3 linked regions of the Lonchura striata genome follow. The protein of the gene in region 3 purifies or fractionates together with the protein of the main gene of each other region. This does not show direct contact. Links are inferred from orthologs where the notes say so. Each region holds a gene or a part of one and is shown on either strand. Other genes may lie near its edges. The genes, in order: CANX, ITGA9 and ITGB1.

The links.
Region 1: the proteins of ITGB1 (region 3) and CANX purify together in Homo sapiens (affinity purification with mass spectrometry; 3 studies listed by BioGRID and IntAct, with this or other methods). This does not show direct contact. The link is inferred for Lonchura striata from reciprocal best matches to the Homo sapiens genes ITGB1 and CANX.
Region 2: the proteins of ITGB1 (region 3) and ITGA9 purify together in Homo sapiens (affinity purification with mass spectrometry; 3 studies listed by BioGRID and IntAct, counting the BioPlex papers as one, with this or other methods). This does not show direct contact. The link is inferred for Lonchura striata from reciprocal best matches to the Homo sapiens genes ITGB1 and ITGA9.

What each region holds. Positions count from the first base shown.
Region 1 is NC_134617.1:6,815,190-6,823,200, reverse strand, and holds the start of CANX (calnexin), read left to right. Parts: upstream 1-4,912; 5' UTR 4,913-4,999; coding exon 5,000-5,002; intron 5,003-8,011. UniProt on the Homo sapiens protein: Calcium-binding protein that interacts with newly synthesized monoglucosylated glycoproteins in the endoplasmic reticulum. It may act in assisting protein assembly and/or in the retention within the ER of unassembled protein subunits.
Region 2 is NC_134603.1:102,418,553-102,425,523, reverse strand, and holds the start of ITGA9 (integrin alpha-9), read left to right. Parts: upstream 1-3,917; 5' UTR 3,918-4,043; coding exon 4,044-4,210; intron 4,211-6,971. UniProt on the Homo sapiens protein: Integrin alpha-9/beta-1 (ITGA9:ITGB1) is a receptor for VCAM1, cytotactin and osteopontin. It recognizes the sequence A-E-I-D-G-I-E-L in cytotactin. ITGA9:ITGB1 may play a crucial role in SVEP1/polydom-mediated myoblast cell adhesion.
Region 3 is NC_134603.1:142,822,755-142,829,976, forward strand, and holds the start of ITGB1 (integrin beta-1), read right to left. Parts: upstream 3,031-7,222; 5' UTR 2,881-3,030; coding exon 2,872-2,880; intron 1-2,871.

The sequences.
Region 1 (8,011 bases), on a different chromosome or scaffold from region 3:
GCCCAACACCAGCCACAGCACAGCCACACCAGCACGCAGGAGGAAGCCACATGGAAGGTGGCACGCTGGTAATAGAAAGAGGCTCAGTGTAAAACCGCACGCAAGATTTAAGTGAAAACAGTAGGGAAGTATAAAAAATAGGGATCAAAAGACAGCATGTGGTCAGGGTACTGACCACATCTGGGTTTCTGTCTTGCTTAGAAGAAGAAAGTGGTGAGGGTTTTTTAGACACAGACAAAGACACAGACACAGACACATAAAATGGCTGAAATGTATGTTTTCTGTTATCCAGGCTCTTCAGCTCCAGCAGCTGATGATTGCAAGTGGGAGAGTGGCCAGTCTGGAGAGGTTACTAAGTTAAGTGCTGCTAATTCCTTGTTTATTGACTTCAGTAAATTGGGATTAGGATGGGTGAGGGGTTCCAGGTGGTGGCCTTGTGCTGTTTATATGGCATGTCAGGAATGCAGCAACTCTTCCATGATTTTGCTTGTTTTTTAAGAGGTTGTGGTGGGGAAAGCAGAGAGCTGAGGAGGAGCACGATGCTGAGGCCAGGTCAGTTAACCCAGGGTTGCATCTGGCTCCAGATCCCAGGCTTCTTGTGCAGGGCTGGAAGAGTTCTTGTCCCCTGAAGCCAAAGGGCAAGTGGGATGTGGCTGGGGGCTCCTGGGCAATCCTGGCCACGGGACCTCATTGTGCCTCGTAACAATCACATGTTGTTATGGGAGAAGAAGACCCTTCCTTTCCTTCCTTTCCTTTTTTTCCCTTCCTTTTCCTTTCTTTTCCTTCCTTTCCTTCTTCTCCTTCCACTCCTTCCTTTCCTCCTTGCTTATCTTGCCCCTCTTCACTCTACATAATAATAACACCAATTAAGCACTTTCCTTTTACCCTGGGATTGAATGGAATTTCATTTGCCATTAATCACATCCAATGAAACTGTCGAAAGTTAAGACATTCAGAAACTTGACCACTGAAAAATGGTTTATTTTTGTTTGTTTGATGGGGGGAGCTGTTTGTTTGTTTGTTGTGAGTTTGTGAGGGTTTTTCTGCGGTTTTTTTGGGGGCTTTCTTGGGTCTGGTTGGTTTTTGTTGTTTTTGGGATTTTTTTGTTGTTCCTCAAAACAAACAACTGCTTCCAAACACACAAAGCACAATCCCTGAGCCAGACAGCCCCCAGTGGTACCATGCAAGGTGGTACCAACTCAAGAGGTTATCGTAGAGGAATTATCACAGATCCATGAGCAGCTGGGGGAGAGCAGCTATTGTCAGTCTCTGATCTGGTGAATCTGAAACGTGTGAGCTAAAGTGGAAAGACTCTGTTCTAACACAGTGTCTCTCTTTTGGCCTTGCTGCTAATCACACTCAAGCCCCTCTCTGTGCCCTGCCTCTCAGGGAGCTGTGGGGATCGAGCATTTTCTTCTTTGCAAAAGGTTTTGGGTGTTGCTAATGCCCTAAGGACAGGACGGTGTTGGCAGCCTCTTGCTGTTTCTGGCAAGCCTTCATCTGTTTAAATCCAAAGGGTAACCTGTATTTCCCTAGTGAGGGAATAACTCCAGTCCACATGTTGCAACCATGCTTGGATACAAATGCCTCAAGTGTGAGACCCTCAGGGAGGACACAGTTCTGGGGATATATGAGGGCCGCTCTCAAGCAAATCTACACCAGGTCCATGAAAGAACTGGCAGAAAGGGGCACGGTGGAAGCCAGATTTTTCCCAGCAAACTGGTGCAATGCTTATGACAGCCAGAAAAGGTGTGTACAACCATCAAGATTTCCTTACCTTATGTCCAGACTAAACCTGCACCTACTATCTTGTCTCGGGTGACTCTGAATTTCTGCTTCCCAGAAGTTGTCTGTAAAGTTCCTGTTCTCAGGGACACTTCCCAGCTTGTGAAAACGGTATCAGGTGGATAGATTGTCTTCCTCCACCTCAGTGCTCTCTGCCTGTCTCTTTCTATCCATGTGTGAGTGCTCAGTTACTACTTATCTGTTGATTTTTTTCTTTTATTTATCTGCTTCATCGTATTACAATTAATTTATAACACTTTTTACATTCATGTTTATTAGCTCTGAAAATGGTAGGACTTCATTATTTCCCTTTAAGATTATTATCCTCCCCCTGTTCTGATAATGTTCATGCATCTTTTCCCATCCTTCTCTCAAGCATTGTCCCCAGAGATGTCTTTGTAACAAAATGTGTTTTCCATGGAAAGCATTCCAGAGCACATGGACATTGCTCCGTACAGTGATGTGAGCTTGCCTCCCCTCCTGCAGTTCAAAGTTTGAAAGAGCAAAAGTCAGTGTACTCTCACTGGTTGTCTGCCTTGACTGCCTGCTCTCTGCCAGTGTGGTGTCCCTCCTGTCACACTGACCTGCTGGATTTTCCACTCGTTTCTTGCCAGTTTTCCAGAGGAGATGAGTTTGAAAAGATGTACTACTAGTGCTTGAAATGCAAGGAGAACTCTAGCAATGTGGCAATGCCCTGAAGGGATTAAGGAAGGAGGAACACTTTGGAGATAAAGTTAGAGGGAATTATGAAAATACCAGTGGAAAGCACATGACGTTTCTGTCTGATAACACTCAGGAAAAGAAAGTTCCCACAAATAGAATTACACACAGTTCTAGTGCACTAATAAACTGACCATTGCCTCTCACCTCTGAGGTGTGCATATTCAGGCTCTGCCAGTCTCACCACACTGCCTGATTTCTGCCTTTTTAACTGTACTGCCAAAGTCAGAGAGCAACACACTTCCTGTGTGTTTGTCAGTGGGACAAAGCAGATCTGCTGCAATAAAGCCTGAACACACCAAAATTATTTTCCTTGACAATGTCATGTTTGCCATGTGGTATCTGCCATTCTCTTTCTTTCACCTTCCCTGCCCTGGCACTCTAGAGTCTAAAAATACCATCTTCTCAGCTGCCAAAGCAGTTAAATCTCTGTGCATGTTTCTTCAGTTTCCTTTACTCATCCCTTTTGCTTTCCTTCTGGATTATCTCTCTGTTGTGTTCATTCTGTATTTCTTTTATCTAAGTTCAAACATCTCGAAAATCCCCACATAAGATATGCTTTTAGCAGATTCTTTTTTTTTTTTTTTTTTTTTTTTTTTTTTTTTTTTTTGTAACTTACAGTGCTCCTTTCTTCTCGATGACAAAGCAGCACAGGCAGGAGCCAGCTCCAGGGCTGCCTGCCTGTGACATGATTCAGCAGGTTGTAAAAGGAAGGAATGTTTTCTTTTTTGGGAAAGGGTGGGAGAGAAAGGGGAATCACGTGTGTGCATGTGTGTGTGTGTGTGTATTTGACTTCCTGGTGCTTCTGTGATTTCAGCAGGAGTATTATGCTGTTCTGCAGTCATGTTGCAGTTAATAACCTGTTTCAAAAAAAAGGCTTGAAAGATATTTGGTGGAAAAATGGGTTTTTCTAGATTGAGGAGGGCACTTGCTAAAATATACTGTTTTGTTACTCTTTAAAGTACTTTTCCATAGTGTTTTTAGGTTATTCTTTAAGCATTTGATATCTCCTGTGCTGCCTGTTTGTGACTGTTTCCCTGCCTGTCTGCATCTTCTGCTAAGTCTGGGTATAGCTCAACAGAGCAGTTTAGGAACCAGCTCGGTGTCTTTCTGGAAAAATGTGTTTGATTCCAAACTTCAGTGCAAGCAGGGATTTGCTGATTTCATTTATGCTGAGCCTTATTTCTGAATGCTGAGGCCCTGCTTGCTTTGTCCTAACACAGTGGAATTTTCTCTGTGGGGAAACTTATACTGCTGACTCATTGCATCAACTCAAAACAGATTTATGTTTACAAAGGAAAAAAAAAAAACCACCACCCTTTTCTTTCTTTCTTTTCTCTAGTAATATTGGATTTGTTATTCCTGCAGAATACCTTCTATCTCCTGGAACAGGCTGCAGCCCAGAGACCATGCAGGAGCTGGCTTTGAACAGGGTGGTTCAGACCCAGCTTTCTGTGGAACTGCTCTCAGCTGGTGCAGCTTGGAGACAGCACAAAGGTGCTCTAACTTCCAGGCTACCAGAGCCTGTTTTCCTCACCGTGGGGCCGTGTTCCCTGCCTCCCACACGGCTGTGTGTGCAGCAGGACACGGAGACTCCTCAGGCTTAATCCTGACCTCCTTCACATGGTCCATCAAACCCGGCGTCTCCTTCGGCCTGTCTGTCCCATGGGCCCACCAAGGACACTTTTTTCTGTATTTCCCTGTGTTTCTTTAATGATTCGATGTACAAATGTTCAACATTTATACAGTGTTTCACCTCTACAAAACTGCGTTACTTTCCTTTTTAAAATACAGCACAGGTTAAAGGTTCCGGAATTGCACAAGGCCTTTGGGCAAGCAGCTGCTGAGCAGCACTGCCATATTCCGAATACGCTGGAGTCTGCGTCACTGTTCGCTATTTTATTAAACCCTCGGCTTGTAACAGAGGGAAAGACCACCAGATACACTGAATTTGTTGAATAGGCAAGAAAACCCGAACACCCCTTCTAAAGAACGAGAAGACATAAAGATGGCTCTGCTGTTTAACACAGCGGAATTTTATGGAGCAGAGGGTGAAGGCTGTGAGGGGATGGGGGGGCGCGGGCAGGGCGCGAGGCGCTGCGGCTGGCCCCGCCCCCGCCGCCCCCCGCCGCCCGCAGCGCCCCTGGACCGCCACCCGTTGGGACCCCGCCCACATCCCAACGGCCTGCCCGCGCCCACCCAATCAGCCGGCACTTCCTGCAACCCCGCCAACCAATGACAGCGCTCCACGAAGGGCAGCGCCGTTGGGGGCGTGTCTAGAGGCGGGCCGGCTGCTGAGCGGCGGTGACATTAGCCAATCAGAGTGCACAGCCGGCGACTGGGCGGGCGGACGAGCGCGCTGTCCGCCAATGGGAGACGCTGAGCGCCGTGAGGCGGGGGTGGGGCCGGCGCGCGGCAGATAGGCGGGCGGCGGCGGGCGCGCGGGCACGTGACGGAGGTGAGGGCAGCCCGGCGGCGGTGGCCGGGGCGGCGGATGGTGAGTGTGTCCGGCCGGCCGCGCCCTCCCTCCACAGCCGCTGCGGCTCCGCAACATCGGCGCGGGGGAGCCGGCCTCGCCCGCGGTGGCGGGGGCGCTCGGCCTGTCGTGGGGCGTGCGGCGGGGCGCTGCTGGGCCCTGGGGGGTGGGAGGCCCGTGCTTGTCCCGGCCCCATCGCGGCGGTGGGAGGGCGCGGGGAGCCCCCGCAGTCAGGGCGGGAGGGACGGCCTGGGGAGGCCCCTGAGGCCGGGGGCGGGCGCGGGGCTGCGGCGGCGGCGCCGGGTCCCGCCCGGCCCCCGCAGGGCTCGGAGCGGCCTGGGGGGAGCGGCGGCTCTTCTGGTAAGTTCTGGGAGCGCCGCTCCGGGCAGCGCCTGGCGCTAGGGCCGCGTGGTGGAACCGGGAGGGAGGCGAGAGTCGCACGTAGATGTGGGCAGCGCGTGGTTTAGGTTTTAGCTGGCTACGTGTTCCATGTCGGAAATAATCTTGAACGTGCTCCCCGTGCAGGGGAGATCAGGAGGTGGGTGCAGAGCCCGGCGTGGGCCTGGCTGGGGCTGTGTGAGGGGAAGGAGAAGCCTCTGGAAGGGGGGAGCTTATGGCGAGGGGCTGGAGTCCCAACAGGTGAAGTGCAGGCGACGAATCTGCAGTAGGAACATCTGAGAATTTAAAGGCATTGAAATGCCTGCTTTGATTTTTGTCCCTCAAATATTGTTTGCATTTGGTGCCTTTAAAATAGTGTATAAATGACTTCTCATTTCTGGCTGAGGATTGTATTGTGTGCTTTTAAAAGAAAAATAAAACCCACACCATTGAATTAAAGCATGTACAGCACACTGCTTTCTTATCTGTACTATTCTAAAGTGTGAACTTTCACATGCAGGTTTGTGGTTCAGAACTTTCTAGGCTACAGAAAGAGAAATGCTGCAGGTGATTTGATTGTGAAGGGTAGTGGACATGTATTAATGGCAGTAGTAATGGTAAAGGTCCAGACCTAAAGAATCAGTCTTAACATAATTAATGCTGCAGAGGTTCTGCAGGTCATAGTGGAAAACTCTTTCTGGAACTTATTTAGAGAATGTTAGATGTCTGAAAACTGGTCTCTAGGCATGTAATGTATTTCTAAATGTAGTGTGTTGACTTCACGTCCTCAAGTAAACATATCACATGGGTGTTGTGGGACAGTCTTGCACGTTGTGGTTTTGGTTGTTGCTAAAGTACTGCAAAGAGATAGCAGAACTATAATAATGTATGAGCTAATCCAGATAAAATAATGGTTAAATATAGGTTGGTATATATATATATTACTCTAGGCTCACACTGACTTCAAAGACCACTTTATTGTTAATTAGGCTGTATTTGATGGGCTTATGCAAAACACTTAATAAAATTATGAAAAGGTCTGAGTAAAACTATGTGTTTGTATTAACTTCTAGTATTTCTAGTTTAACTAAACATTATGAAGAAGATACTTATACAATTTACAGGCAGCATTGCAGGCTGTGTATGATATGTAAACTGCTTTTTGGGATCAGCTGCCCTCCTTGGAAGGGAATCTAGTGTAAAATAGTAAGAAAGTTTTCAAATTCCATTGGAAAACCCTCTCTTGTGGTGTGCTGTAGCACTTACCCTGAGTAAATGAATAAATCCTTTACAGAGAATACACTGAGACTTGTACTTAGCTCTGCCTTTTACTTCCTTTTCTGGCCTTTGACTTTCTGCTTCTGGGAGTAGTCATAGTGGCAGCCTGTTCTTGTTGGAATCAGTTCTGTAACAGGACAAACTTGAATTGTTTTCTAGGTGTGATGGTCTCAAAGATCTTGGGATCCCTCCAGATCTGCCCCCACTAATATCATTTTCCCAGCAGCCCATCTGTTTTATGAGGTCAAAAAGCCTCATGGTTCTGTCTTACCCTCCAAGGACTTCCAGTTCTGCAGGAAGGATATCTGTGCTTACAAACGGTATCTGCTTTTTGCTTCTGTACTGTGTCTGCACTGTTGTACATTATTTTTAGAAACTGGCATATTTGAAATGCCTATTAAAAGCAAGCTTTGTTGCTGTCCCTTTTCACACCTAATCCCTTGCCTGGTTTGTGCTCTCTAGAGCCCAAACAGGAGGCAGCTTTTTTTTGTGGGGCTGTCCAGAAGAGGTTTGGCTAATCCTTTCCAGGAGACTTCTTCCTCATGTAGAAGTGTATCCCAGCCACTTATTACTGAAGAAAAAAAAATGTAGGAGGGACCACCATGGAGAGTTCTTGCCTCTCTTCTCTTGTTAGTAACATGGTTTTCCTTAGCCTTGTCTGTTGTTCATTGAGTTATGATGTTAAAGGGAGAACCTTCTCAATAGTGGAAGTTGTCCATCTGAAAAACTATTTCAGAAGAAAAAGTGTTGTCTGCATTATATGAGTTGTTGTATGAACCTGAACATAATTTTTTTATATCCCCTTTTGAGGTGTGCTGAGGCCCTGTACTAGTTGTTGAAATTATAGGATTTGGCCACACAGTTTTCAGCTGCACCATAGTGTCTGTCCCCCAAATCTGCCTAAAGAGAAATCAGGCAGGTACAGGTGACAGACCTGCACTTGAAACTGTGATATTGAGCTGCCAACAACTTTATTTCCTCTATCCCTGGCTACTTACTTTCACTGGTACTGCTACAACTCTTTGCTTTTGCTGCTGGGTTAGCCTGGGGTATTGATGCAGGGTTAAAATAACATGGCAGAAGGACTTCGAGCCATCTTAAACCAGCGGCTGGTTCATCATGAGGCTGTGTAAACAGTTACCCAGGCACTGCAGAGGAGGCAGGATGTGGAAGGCAGAGGGATTGTGAGATGTAAAAGAGATTTCCTCTGCTCTTCAGTAATTCTGACTTTAGGAAATTAGTGCACTACCAAGTAGGGTAGCTGAGCCTTTGCTCAAAACCAACAGAACTGTCATTTGAGAGGGAAAATGTATATCTGTGTCTCAGCCTTTCTGTTCTTGCCTCCTTGCAATTTTTTTGTGTTGTGATGAATCA
Region 2 (6,971 bases), about 40 Mb from region 3:
GAACAATAAGGCTCACCACTGCAATGGGAAACCTTTAACACAAGTTCAGTTAAAACCTCCTTAATACTGAGCATGTACTGACATAAATGTATGAATAATGATGAAGAGAGGCAGCAGCCTCTTTATTAATGAAATTATGGGATGCCTTCTCATTGTTACCATGTCCTGGCTGATGGATGCCAGGGTGGGAGAAGGAGGTGTCATTCCATTCCCACTCAGCAGCACATCCTCTCCCCAACTGTGGCTAAGAGCAAGAAGGAGGGAGCTGAGGGCCAGGAAGAGAAATCTGCACCCAAACAAGTAGGGCTTAAAAAAAGATTGTTGAATAAGCTTACAGCTTACAGGTTGTAGGTGCCTGTGGGAAGTGAAAATGAAGTTTATTGTGCATAAAAAGTGTTTTGAAACAGATGGTAAAATTCCAGCCTCAGCACGACTTCGATACAAATGCAAAGAAAGGCAAATGATAAGTACAGTTATGTGAAGAATTAAGTAAGGTATTGGTAAAAGTAAGGAAACCAATGTTGAGTTCACCATGTGCAGTACAGGAACAAATTTATCTTTATATATAATTTGGGCAGAGAAGCTTTCAAGAAGACAATTTATCTGTTAATGCTTACTCTTGATGAATGGAATCTCTACACAGCTGAATCCTTAACCAATGAAGACATAGGGCATTTGTTTTAATTTTCATTTTTTTTCCACAGCCACAACATTATTGCATTGGACTTTTTTTCCTTAAGCTCTACTATTAATTAGACAGTACTGTCAAGGGTGCTACTTCACTGTTGATTCTCAATTTACAGATAATGTTTCTAATTTATAAACTAATCTGGAGACAGAGTCTTGCCAAGATACAGTGTTTAATTAATATAGGTAGGTGTAAAGTACAAATTAGCCCTATGGTGCAGGTATGGAGCTTCTCTAGATTATACAAACATCAAAGCTAACACAGACAGAATAGATATATAGAAGTGCTATATAGCTATTCCTGGTTTTAGTGGTTCTTTCACACAGGGTTTGGACCAGGATTTGGGTTCAGTGAGGAGGGAATTCTGTGATATATGATTTAATGTATTATTCTGTGTTTGTGAGAACACGGTTCTACCATCACTTAGTTTTACCGTAATATTTATTTAACTGTACGTTATTATTGTCCTTGTCACTGCATTTGGATGTCCCATTGCTTTCATAGATGGCATGCCAGAATTTTATCAGCTAAATCTACACCATTGAGACACACAGTTTCTGTTTGTTTCTGTTTGGACTGACAAAATTCCTGTTGAATTAAATGTTGTGAGATGACTTCGGTATTTAGATGTGCAATAAAAGAAAAAGGATGGAAGTACCATATTCCTAGCCTTTCCCTGGATACCCTTCCTTGCAAAGAATGGAGAGCTGACATTTTTATGGACTGACAAAATTTTGTATGTATCACTTCTAGTTGAAATAAGTCCTCCCAAGAGCACTCTACAACAAGAAAGACAAGTGTTCATTCACCTCGCCTAGTTGCTTTGCTTCCCTCCTCCCTCTGGAGAAGGATGAACACATTGCTCTCTCTAGCATATCATCCACATTTCTTTTAACTTGGTTTGAGAATTGCCTGAGCACCATTTAGTGCCCAGGTAATTAACTGAAAACCCCCAACACTTTCTTGCTTCAAAAGGCAGAGATGTGACTTTCTGTGCTAATGATTGCGTGTCATTTGTGGAATTTGCTTAATTGAGGCGTATTGATTTTCTGCCTAAATCAGATTACTTTTATCCATATTGATTGCACTGTTATAAAATCCCTGTGAAAATCTTTCTATTAAATGTTATAAATCTCCCTGCTAATATGACATAAATTCCTTGCTGTTTCACTTGATGCGCCAATAAACAAATCAATTCTTGCAGTTTGATAATATACCTAAGGCTGAAGTTACTGATAAAGTGACTTTCCCTTTTTATTTGATAGTGAGCATTGTGGCACTGAGATTTGACTGAAAAATTTTCACTTCTCCGTAACCCTGGTCATAGTTAGATGAAGGAAGACTCACACTAATCCAACCTTTTCCCAAGCCACCTTGAACAAGCACACTAAATAAGTATACCGCTAAGCTGCACAAAGCCAATATAAAACAACTTGGTGACTGGAAACATCCATTCCTCTATTTTTTTTTTCACCACCAAATTGTGTAATTTTTACTTCTCTATTTAACCTGTCCATGAAATTTTCTCTATTAATGTTCCAGCATCACAGTCAACATCAAAAATGTCAGTTTCTAAACAGCAATATGTACATGTGTCACCAGAGCACTTGCTCTGAGGGTAATGCTCAAAAGCAATGATTACAATCAATCTTCTTCCTGGTGAGGATGCTCCCTTGCAGAAACAGGCTATGCATTTGAAAGAGCCACATGGATATTATGAAACAGCTTACTGAAACTCCTCACCAAAAACAAATCCTGGTGCAAACCTTTTACAGAAAAAGAATTACTCTTTCATCAGGAACTTCATTCTCTGAAAGATTTAACTTGCAAGAGTGTTTTTCCATGACAGCTCTCCAAGAGCCTCAACATTCAGCAGTCTTCTCTGGAGATCATTGATGTCATCAGAAGCAAATTACGCATTAATCATTGTGTGCATATGCAAGAGGTACCTGACCTGGCTGCAAATCTCCAGTGACCTGCCACAAGTGGCAGTTCCTGTTGTATCAGAGTTCCTGGCTCTTCTATTCTTGCGTTTCCCAGTACTTACTCTGCTTCTCCTGGTGCACCTTCTTATGTATGAGGGATATACATTGAATTAAATAGTCAAAGCCAAGGCTAACAGAAACATATGAAAGTCACAATTATCTGTGAGATTCTGGGCTTGATCCTCAAAAAGTATCTAAACAAATGAATCCTGAGCACTAAAATATACTGCTTTTCACTTTAATAAAAGGATGGGCTTTGTGGGCCCAAAGGTTTTCTTAGCACCTAACTCCCCTCCCCTTTCCTACAGAGTGATGATCACCCTTGTCTTATCCTCTGGAGTAGAGTATCTTCTTGCCTTTGCTCTTGCTCATCTGTTAGTGCATGTTTGACTGATTAGTTTTGCTCTCAGATTGTCAAACTTTTCAAGTTTTAGAACAGTTATTTTCAGCTTTTACCGAGCTACAAAAGTTGCTGCTTCTTTTTCAGACCTGAAGTACTTTTGCCGGAAAACACTGCGTCTGATTTTTTTACCCGAAGTATTTTCATTTCTGCTACCCTGAAAAAAGACACTGCCTCTCGTCATGGCTTTCCTTTTCCCAAGAAAATCTCCCGTGCTTTTGCGTGATGCAAATCAGATCTTCCATCTGTCACTCGCGAAGCATTCCCCTCCGCGTGCCAGATCCCAGCCGGGCTGGTAGCCTCAAACTAATGGAAGTCAGGACTGATTCCTCCACGTCTTTGCCCTAAACTTTGTGATTTCCCTCTTCCCCCTCCAGGCGCCGACCGGGGGAGGGGCTGCGCGAGAAGGGGAGTAGGCGGAAAAATGAAAGAAAGCCGTAGCTGACAGGCGGTGTGTGGAAGAGAGTGACGCCGAGGAGGGGCTGTGGGGCCGCGCGGGGCCGGGCAGCGGGGCCGGGCAGCGGGACCGCCGAGCGGGGCGGGCGAGCGGGGCCGGGCGAGCGGGGCCGGGCGAGCGGGGCCGGGCGAGCGGGGCCGGGCAGCGGGGCCGGGCGAGCGGGGCCGGGCGAGCGGGGCCGGGCGAGCGGGGCCGGGCGAGCGGGGCCGGGCAGCGGGGCCGGGCAGCGGGGCCGGGCAGCGGGGCCGGGCAGCGGGGCCGGGCGCGGCGCGGCAGGTACCGCCCGGGACCGGCAGGGGGCGCCGGCGCCTCGGCCGGCCGAGGCGGAGGGGCGCGCGGTGCCCGCGGCGCGGGGCGCGGCGGGGCCGGGCCCAGACGCGGCGCGGGGCGGGCACAAAAGCGCCGCGCCCGCACACGCCACCTTGGAGTCGGCGCCGGGGCAGGGTGGGGTCGGTGGGCCCGAGTTCAGCGCTTAGCGGCGCCGGTACGGGCGGCTGCCTCGGGACTCGCACGATGCCGGAGGCGCGGCGGCGCGGGGCACGGGTGCTGTGGACGCTCCTGTGGGCGGCCGCGGTGCGCTGCTATAACGTGGATGTGGGTCGCCCCGTGATTTTCCGGGGTCCCAACGGCTCCTTCTTCGGGTACTCGGTGCTGCAGCACTACCACGACAGCACGCGGTGGTGAGTAGCGCGGCCCTGCGCGCCGGGATGGGCGAGGCGCGGGCGGCGGCGGGGATGCGGCCCGGGGGTCGCCGCCCGGGTTTCCACCGTCCCTCCCGGCAGCCGCCCCCGCCCCGCACCGCGGTCTCTCCCCGCGCCCGGTCCGCCTCTTTGGGGTGCGGTGGAGGCAGAGCTGTGGGGCTCCGCGCTGGGAGCATTTTAACGCGGGGATGTTCTTTATGGGCTGGCAGCCGGCGCTTGGCATTGTGACCTAATTGTCCTCGAGCGCCAGCCGGCCCGCGGCCGATGTCTCGGCGCTGTGCTCGATCCCCCTTCCTCGCAGGAAATATTTAGCAGCTCACCGACTTGACTGCGTACGAAAAAGCGCCCGGGGTACGAAAGATGATGGTTTTTGCCGCGTTAATGGGAAGTGCTTCTAATAGCGGTAACCTCCACCGAGAGCAGCACACTCAGCGTCCACGAAGCCAAACTACCCGCACTCTGCCTGGCTGGGACAAAATTCCTTCGGAGGCTGAAGAGACGCTTCCAAATCGTAGAGGAAATGTCTGTGTAACTTAAAAAAAAAAAATAAAAAAGAAGGCCGAAGAAAGAAAGTTTATCTACATCCAAAAATTTGTGAAACTGGCAAGCTTCTTGTTTTCCCGGTGGTTGAAAAGAGCATTGGACCATAGTCTGTTTGTTGTCTGGGTTAGAGGCTCTTTGTTAGAATTAAAAGTGATTGCTCTTAATTTGACCTAGCTGGTGTCGCCTGGTGCCCTTCTAATGTGAGTAGGAGCCACTGCTGCCAGTAAGCGTCCACAAAGCATGTCTTTATCTTTTTGTACTTAGATATTCAGCTATTGATGTTGGAACTTTGGTGCACTGTGCTTTAAATAAATGTATTCATTCTCTGGCATACAGTTCTTTAAAAATTAATTTCTTTCACACCCTTTATTTCACAAGTAGTTCTATGCTCTGCCTTTCTCCATAGTGGCTTTCATGGAGTATTCATTTTTAAGGACATATAAGAAGATTTCATAGAGGAAAAGCACCCTGAGAGAAGAAAGGCTCTCAGTTTAAAGCAGTGCTTAACTTAGGTCAAGAGTCAATGAAGGGTGCAAAAGCTGAAAGGAACTTCTATTCAACACAAGTTGCTGAGGATTCAGTGGTGTGACTGAAATGCTGATCTACTGCAGTGTGGTGGGGAAAAAGTGGTAGAATTTTTTGCTTCTTATGTAGGTATCTGTCTTTCTGATTGATAATATGAATTATCTTCATATAGCACCTGCTGGTGTGGTATTTTTTGAAGGGAAGGTGGACTAGGGAGCGGGCTCTTGGTGCTAGCCCCACTTCATTTAGAAACATGCTGGACTCTTTAAGTGTTGGGTGTCTGTCTGAAGGCAGGGATCTGTTAGAAGTCTGGTGCTCAAAATGAAAATCCCCAGTTATGTAAATTCAATTTTTTTTTGTTTGAAAATGGAGCTGATTCATGGTATTTTTATACTCACCTTGATTCTAGTGTGCTATATGCAGTTGTGCTTGTAATGCGTGTGTGCATCCTAAAGGTCAATAATGAATCTCTTAAAAGTATATGCAGCCTCCTTCCAGTTTGCTGAAGAAGCTGCTCTTAAGAGTCAGGGTTATTATTTGTGTCAAGTTTTTTTTTCTTTCTTCTTGTGACTTTTATATACCCAAGGAAGGGCTATTGTTTCAGTTTTCTCATGTTGATTGGGTCTGTACACTGCAATGGGAAGTCGTTAAAATAATTTAACTTTAGACAGTGCTATTTTGGGCATTGAAGGCTTGCCCAGTGAGTTTAGCACTATCCGAGTCTGCAAAAATGTGATTGATCTAGTCTGAGGCTGATAGGGCTCCAGCCCATCTAAAGTTATTTATTATTTTAATATGCTCTCAAGAATTTGAAGGTATTCAGGGAACTCTTGGTCTTCATTGCTTGTGAGCCTGATACTCACCTAATGTACTTCTGATCATGAGAGCTGTCCTGTTTTCCGTAGCCTCGTCTGTGCGCTGGTGTGTGTGAACATACTTGTGTGTGTGTGTCTATATATATAGTCACCAATTTATATTAAGATGGTATCTCTCATGGCCACATCTTCCACGTTTCAGCTTTTTGTTTTCCAAGACCACAAAGGCACCTGTCTGTATTGCCTACCTTAGGCCTGTGGGTTTCCACTAAGCTGGTTCAGGGTTTGGTGATTCTTTCAGGCTTTATGTGAGCCAAATATTCATGTAGAATGAAAAAAAAAGGGAAGAGGGGATATTTGGTATGAAATCTTACATCAGATAAATGTGAATAGTCAGGCTGCTGCACACAGGAATTACAACTGGGAACTGGTTGTTCAGCCGCCACTGCAATAGTGGAGCTGTCAGTGCCTTTGACATTTTCTGCAATAGTTGATTGCAACGTTGGTTCCATTGAGCTGTTTTTGCACATTTTCTTGTCTCAAGAAATCAGAGAATCTCAATAGAGATGTGCTGAGATTATTGTATTTCTGACAATGTCTGCTTTTCCTTCCTTAAGTGGGTTTTATGGCTGTAAATCTTGACAGGTTTACTCAGTTACCCATCATTGCCATTTTCAGCAAAACCAAGTGGCTGGTTACATTTACAGCAGGGACAAGCTGAAGTGCTTCTGCTCTCTGGATATAAAATTATGAAACTTGGTGTAAGAACTCAAAAAACAATCAAGAAATGACCCCAGAAAGTTAAAAAAGAAAAAAGAAAAAGAACCAACACATTTTTTCCCAAATAAAAAGTGGTA
Region 3 (7,222 bases):
ACACACTCGGAAAGGAATGAGGAGGAAGAGAAAGATCAGGTATACCAGTGGCCAGCAAGCTCCATCCAGCCTTCCTCCACATATCCACTCTCCACACCACGTGAGGAGAACTACCAGAGAAAGTAGCACAGTCACACATCCACCTCCTGTGCAGCAGTGACAGGGACACAAGCAAAGGCTGCACCTGCATCATGAGCAGGTCCACACTAAAGACACTCAGGCCTCGGACCATGTGCAAGAGAGGAGCAACAGGGACTCTGCAAGGCTGTCCACTAGAAGGAAAGGGAGCCTCATGCAGAACTAGAGCCTTTACTTACCAAAAGGGTCCCATCAAGACAAAGTACTTAACAGCCTGCTGAGCAATCACAGCTGCAGTACCCTGTCTCAGTACCAAGAGCCACAGCCAAGCACGAAGCCTGCAGCAGACTGATGAGAAGCTGGCTAAGTGTGCATCACATCACTCAGCTAAATCGAGACTGGGTGGAAAGGCAGGCATGACAACTATTTACAAACAACTGACGGGCACTCATACCAGCAGCAGCAAGGGAATTATATTCAGGGCAAGGGAGACCACAGCATGTGCCCACCCCATGTGTGCACGGCTCTCCCCAAGTTCGCCTTTCTGCTACCCCAGTTATCTACTTCCTGAGCTGCTGCTACAGCAAACAAGCTTTTTTCATATCTGAACTACAGCAGAACTACCCAATGAGAGGTAGAGAGAGGATGGTTTAGAGAGAGGAATGAAATCATGAATCAGGAAGAAAGAACAGCAGGAAAAGTTCTCAGACAGTTTTTTTTCAGCTTTGGGAATCACTTCCCAAAGGAAGCGGTGTAAGGCTAACCGCTTGAGTCATTTAAAATACTCAAGACAAAACACTAAAATTCTGCACTCCCATCAAAAATTCATGCACATTCTTAGAGCAACAAGCATCCCTCCAAATCAGTCCTTTACAAGGGTGGGCATTACTGGGGACATGGTACAGATCAGACAACTGAACAGAGAGAACAGAATGAGCTCCCTGGCTGCACCCACAGAGAACAGCGGAGTTGTAACTGCTGACATTTCATTTTTAAATAAATATGGTTCATTTATCATGTGGCTGGCAAACAGATACAGCACTTCGCAGCTCCAACTTTGGTTAAGGTAAGATTATGCATGCCTGTCAGCTTTTAACCTTTCAGCTGAAACATCTCTGAAAAGGACAAAAGTTGAAGGTGTTCACATCTTAAACTTGTCTTGTCTTGCCAATCTATTGCCAATGGCTCACTGTTTTTGCAATCCTTATAAATAGAGCCTTAGGTGAGCTTGCAAAATGCTACTTAATCATTACCCAGAGGCAAGTAATATTTTTTTGTGACAGAGAATGAATCATTGGTTTCATCGCTGGGACGGATGTGGACAATGAATGTCTTTGCTACTCTTAGTCTTGTTTAATTTAGTCTAATTTACATCTTTTTAGTAGTATAATACTACTTTAAAAAGGCCCATACAAACAACCAAGAACAACAAAATCCCCTCACTGCTACCAAGCTGCCTCATTTCTCAAAACTTTTCTCACACTGCCACCATCACCTACCAAATGATCTGTGTGCCAGGAGTACAAGTTATTTAAATCTGTTTCCACATACATAACGTCCTGCTTAATATCAACACCTCAGCACACAAGGAGCATTGACTGTGAGTGGTTCTACTAATCTAAATGGAGACAATCGTTACTCCTAAAGGTTTGTGTATCTTGGCAAGAATAGAACTGTAGCAGTGATGGCAAATCTACCAGAAAAATCAACATTTTCACCCAACAGCTATGTGCACATGTGCTGGCATGAATGGACTGTTGTATTCTATCAAGGACAAATGAAGACGCAAACATGAACGCTCATCAACTTCTTTTCATAAACAGTCACAAAAAGCTACCTAATGAGTTTAACAGGCAGACAGATACTTATTCCATAACATAAACACATCTGACATGGGCCTGTGAGTCAGAATGAATTTCTCATTGCTCCACGTTTCCTTCCAACAACCAGTAACTGAAGGCAATAATAGGAGACAAAGCATTGCACTACTGCTGTAAGATTTTTCAGAAATCCCCATGTGGGACATGGCATAGAGGCCTCACATTCCCACTCCATCCCGACACGAGTTTATAGCAGGCTACAGAGGCTCAGAGCCAGCTGGACGGCTCGAGCAGCCAAAGGCTGCACTGCGACCATCCCGTCATTCAAACCGCGCACACGCCGCTCTCAGCGCTCGCTTTCTGCAGGTATGTGCGGGACAATCCCCCGGGTACTCGAGTTCCCGCACTGCCTCACTCCTTTCGTTCCCATTCCCGTAACTCCGGCGCCCGCTTCCCGCGGGAGGCACCTTCCCCCTGCGGACGCCCGCCCTCGCCCGACTCCCGGGAAGCCGCCCGAAACTTTCCCAGCCGAGCGCTGCCCCCGTCCCGGGCACCGCCGGCGGGAGGCGGCGGCCGGCACGGGGCACGGCACAGGCACGGGGCTCCGGCGCCGCCCGGGGTAGAGCGCTGCCGCCCCGCCGCCGGGGCAGGGCCGGCCCCGGGCGGACAAAGGCCCGGCCGGCCCCGGCGGCACGGGAGGCCCGCGGCCGCCGTCCCGCCGCCACAGGAAGCCGCAGGCTGGGCCCGGCACCTTCCCGCCCACAGCGCCGGGCGGGCACGGCGGGAGGCGGCGCCCCCTCCTCCGCCCGGGCCGGCGCCGAGGCACCGCACACGGGGCGGCGGCGGCTCCCGGCGCGGGAAGCGGCGCCCGCAGCCGCCCGGAGCCCGCCCGAAGCGCCGAGCCCCGGGGCGGCCGCAGGCACCGCTCATCTCGCTCCCGGCCGGCTGCGACCCCCGCCCGTCCTCCCGTTACCTCGGCCATGGCTCCGGGCAGCGGGCGCGCTCCGGCCCGCCCGGCTCGCTGCGGCGGCGTCCGGGGCTGGGCTGGGCAGGGCTGGGCGCGGCGGGACGCCCGGGCTCGCTCCTCGCTGGCTGCCCGCCGCCGCCTGCTCGGAGCTGCTGCGGGAGCCCGGCCCGCGGGGGAGGGGAGGGGAGGTCCGCGCTCCGCGCTGCCCGCCCCGGAAACACATTCCTCCCCGCTGCCGTCAAGCGGGCCGGGGAGGCGTCTGCGGCGCGGCGGCAGGGACGGGAGAGCCGTGCCTGAGGCGGGGCTCGGTGCCCGCTTCCCTCCCGCTTCCATCCGTGCCGCCCGCCAGCGCCTTATTTGGCGGGGTTTGCCGGCGGCTCGGCCGGCCCCGGGCTGGGCCGGTGGGCGGGGACGGGCCGGGGCTGCCCCGCGGCCCGCTCGCTCCCGGCGGTGCGGAAAGGCTGTTCGACCCCAGCCCTTTTCCAGAGCTCTTCCCCTGCTCCGCTCCCTGCCTGGTTCCACGCGCGGTCACAGCCGAGGGGATCCCTGCCCCTCTTGCTGGCAGCTGCTGCCAAGAGCAGTGGAAGTCACTGAGTGATGAGTGCGTTTGTCCGGTGCTACACTCGCTCCGAGCTAAAAAGTCGCTTTCCCCGAATACCTCGGCCGGAGCCTGCTGGTGTTAGGAGCATGCTCTTGGTATTTTAAAGTGCCCCTTAAAATAAGTACTTGGGAAATTACCGATTAAAAAAAAGAAAATGAAAAAGCGTGCCTTTCGACACCTTATTGAAGGTAAAGTGTTGGGAAACAAGCTATCAACTCACAGCTCAGAGCTCTAAGCACTGTCTTTATGTGTGGCTACTGGAGCTTGAGTCAGTTCTTGGTTTTGTATGGTTAACTTAACCAGCAGTGCTGCGACTTGTTTATAATTTTAATCACTTTTCCCCTGCTTGCTTTCTAGCTGCATTTTGGAATAAGAAAGGAATGATGTTTCTAGTTTACTCAAGTGTGGCCTGTGATTCAACCCCGTGTTCCACTTGGGCAGTGCAGTGGTTTAGGGCGCAGTCTCCTAACAGCTGTTTTAGCAGAAGCTTTTAGTGCTGGTACAGCTGTAATTGCAAAACAGTTCTAGTGGTGTTGGAAAATGAGACTGAAATGACAGACTACTGCTCCAAGCAGCCCCATCAAAAGCAAGCACTGGATAAATGAAATGGTAGTTAAACAACTTTGACACTCAGAGATAAGGACAGCAGGAACTATATGTTTCAACAGGTAAATTAATATGTAATATTAATAGTGCCAGGAAAAATGAAAGCCATCAGAAAGCCAAAGTTTTAAAAATTGTAAAAATTAATGCAAAGTAAAAGCAAATGCCGGAGGGATAGTGGTCTGCAAAAAAATGTGGGAAACTTGAGTACTGGGCGATAAAAATTAGTTTTATGCAAGGTATTCTTCTCTGCTTCTTTATTGCAGAGAGAAAAAGCACATCTGGTGCTAATTATGACAAGGTTGTGGATTTTGATCCTTGTATGGGCCATTCACTTAAAAGATGGACTCGATGATCCTTGTGGGTTTCTTCTAACTCAGAATATTCTGTGATTTTGCCAAAATATGCAAATAGTGAGCAGCTGTCCACTATACTGTACTTCAAAGAAGTGGTGGAAAGATGTGCTACTGAGATCAATTTGGCTCTGAAGACTAAATAAAACTGCTCAACAGACTGGTTCAAATGCTACCCAATGCTCTGCTCAGATCTTATTGTGTCAAGTAGCCAGTGGCTGGCTGTGCTGTGCAATAGGAAATCAACAGGAAAAAGTCTCACAAAATGGCTGAAAAAAAATCCACTGAATTATTTGGCTGCTTTCTGGTCTCCTTTGGAGAGCACAGATGGGTATGAAAATCATGAGTTATTTTCCAACACTTGTGAAGTACTAAAGATGCCAGAAAAAAGAAAAAAAAAAAGAGCTGGAGGTATCTGAGCCAGTAGACACAATTATAGGTGATGTCAAAATGTTTAATGTAGTGTTTCTGTACTGCAGTGTACATGACATCTGGGAGAGTGAGCAGTTTTGCACAGGAGGGCTCAAGAAAAGATGGGTTTTCATGGACTGAGTGGGAAGCTGGGAAGTGTTTGGTTAATTCTTATCTTGCAGATACAGATTTTATAACTTTTACACAAACACAAATCCCAAACCAGGTTTTGATGTGTCCAGTGCTGCTTTTGTAAAGAAGCCAGCTGTGTAAATTGGGGGTGCCCAGCTGCAGCTCCAGGGCTGGAGCTGAATATCCCTGTGCCAGGCAGCTCTATTGCAATCCCTCCCAGTGCCTGGCTGGGAACCTCTGGAGTGAGGGGGCCACTTGGGTACCTCAGGAGCCACTGCCTCCAGAGAAGCAGGAACTGGTTGGTAGGAGAAATTGCAGCATCTCCTAACCAGTTATCAGGGTATTTCCTTGGCTGCAGTTTCCCGTTTGCCACATGTTGCTGCCAAGCTGCTGAACTCTGACTTACTAAAGCCCACACAGCCAGGGAGCTGTCAGCCTGTTCTCCAGCATCTTCTTCACTCCTGCACCTTGCAAAGGGTTTAGAGGGAGATATTTTTCAACTGGGGCCTCAGTGATAAGAAACACAGGATGTGTTTTAATGTGCATGGTTTGCGCATTAATACCCAAATGCAAATGCCTCTCATCAGGGCACCCATTAGGCAACTTTGTAATCTCACCAGCCACTAAAACTTCTATCTTTACTTCTTTATAGTGTGCTAGGTATCTCGCTCACCTCTGCCCCAGGGAGCGATAATTTATCTGTACTGCTCCACTTCCCCAACAAACTTTGTTACTGACAGCAGAGTACTTTCCCTTTCCACCCCTCTTCTTTTCCTTCCCTGCCTCTTCAAAATGCTTCTACCCTACTAGATAGATAAAGGGTGGGAGAGAAAAGAGGAAGTCAAAGTCATTTTCCCAAGGATAGCAATGAAGCCAGCAAAAGAAAGCAGGTCTCCTGGGAACACATCAGACTGCAGCCACCTGGGCTGAGCTGGCTGCGGGAGCACCCAGTTTTCCTGGCCTGACCTTGGAGCAGAGCAGCAGCAGCTTCAGCCGCTGTTTTATTCCAGAAGCAGCTGTGCAGTCACCAAGGGGCACAGTGAGCACTGAGACCTCACTGGCAACTGGTCAGCACTGGGCTCTGGCTTCCAGTGTGGAGGATGAGGAGGTGTTAGGGCTTGGACACAAGATTCATAGAGAAAGTATTATTAGAAGGGTCACTTAGTACAGGAAGTGATGGTGCTAAACGGTTGTGTCATTGCTTTAGATAACAGCCACTATTTGGCTCCTCATGAGGAATGAGCAGCACTTCTCTGCAGGCAGCCTGTCAGACCTGTACAGTGTGCCCATGGTATGGAATGCTGTGTTTACACTGGAGCCATGTTCTCCTGCTCCACACAAGGAGTGAAGTGAGTCACAAATGTTCAGCCAGGAGATTGCCAGAGATTGTATCCTGTGGGCAAAGGTTTGCTTTGAAGGATTGTCTGCCTGCTGTTCATGGGAGCAATGTGCAGCACTTAGGTGCAATAGAGCTGATATATTAACACCTGGTTTATGATCAGTGCTTAGATCTCTGCTTTGTTCAATCGACAGTCCTGTGTTTAACATGAGCCTGAAAAGGTCAGAGTCCACCAAGCCCTTCCTTCAGCTCACCAGCATTTAAAAAGCAACTTGTGGCTGTCAGGAAAGAAGAAAGGGGAGGTCACCATGGCCCTTCTGGTGGGACTCTGCCCTTGCTGGCACAGAGCAGGCTGCTGGAGCAGAGGGACTGGGGGACAGCTTTTGTTACAGCTGCACTGTGCCTTCTGATGCTTCCTCTGACTCATTTTCTGCACTTCCTTCAGCTGAAGAGCTGCTCTTCCCTCTTGTGTGTATGTTTGGGTAGGCTGAGCTGTTGCTGTTAAAATCCCTGCTGCCATTAGCATACACATTCCTTCTCATTTGCCACATGGACTTAAATCTTCCAAGGCACTTTTGTGGGACTCCTATGTCATTGTGAAGAGGGTCTGTTTTATGCAGAAATTCTATAAGATATTTTGATCCTCAATAAGCAAGGCAGGAATCCTTTTTCCTCCTTGGGCATGAACTACAAGTTGCTCCTATGTTCCAAAGTAAAGAAGTGAGCAGGAGTTAAGTGAAGAGACTAAAGTCTTTGAGATTTATGTTCAAGCACTCATACTCATGATAACACAGGGCAGAGAACTTCTGCACCAGCTCCTTTTGTTGCTTGAAATGAATAGTGTTTTCTAGAGAACTAGATCTTAAAACTTCAGGCTTGAAGATATTTTAGTGTTTAATTACCCAAGGAAAAATGCCT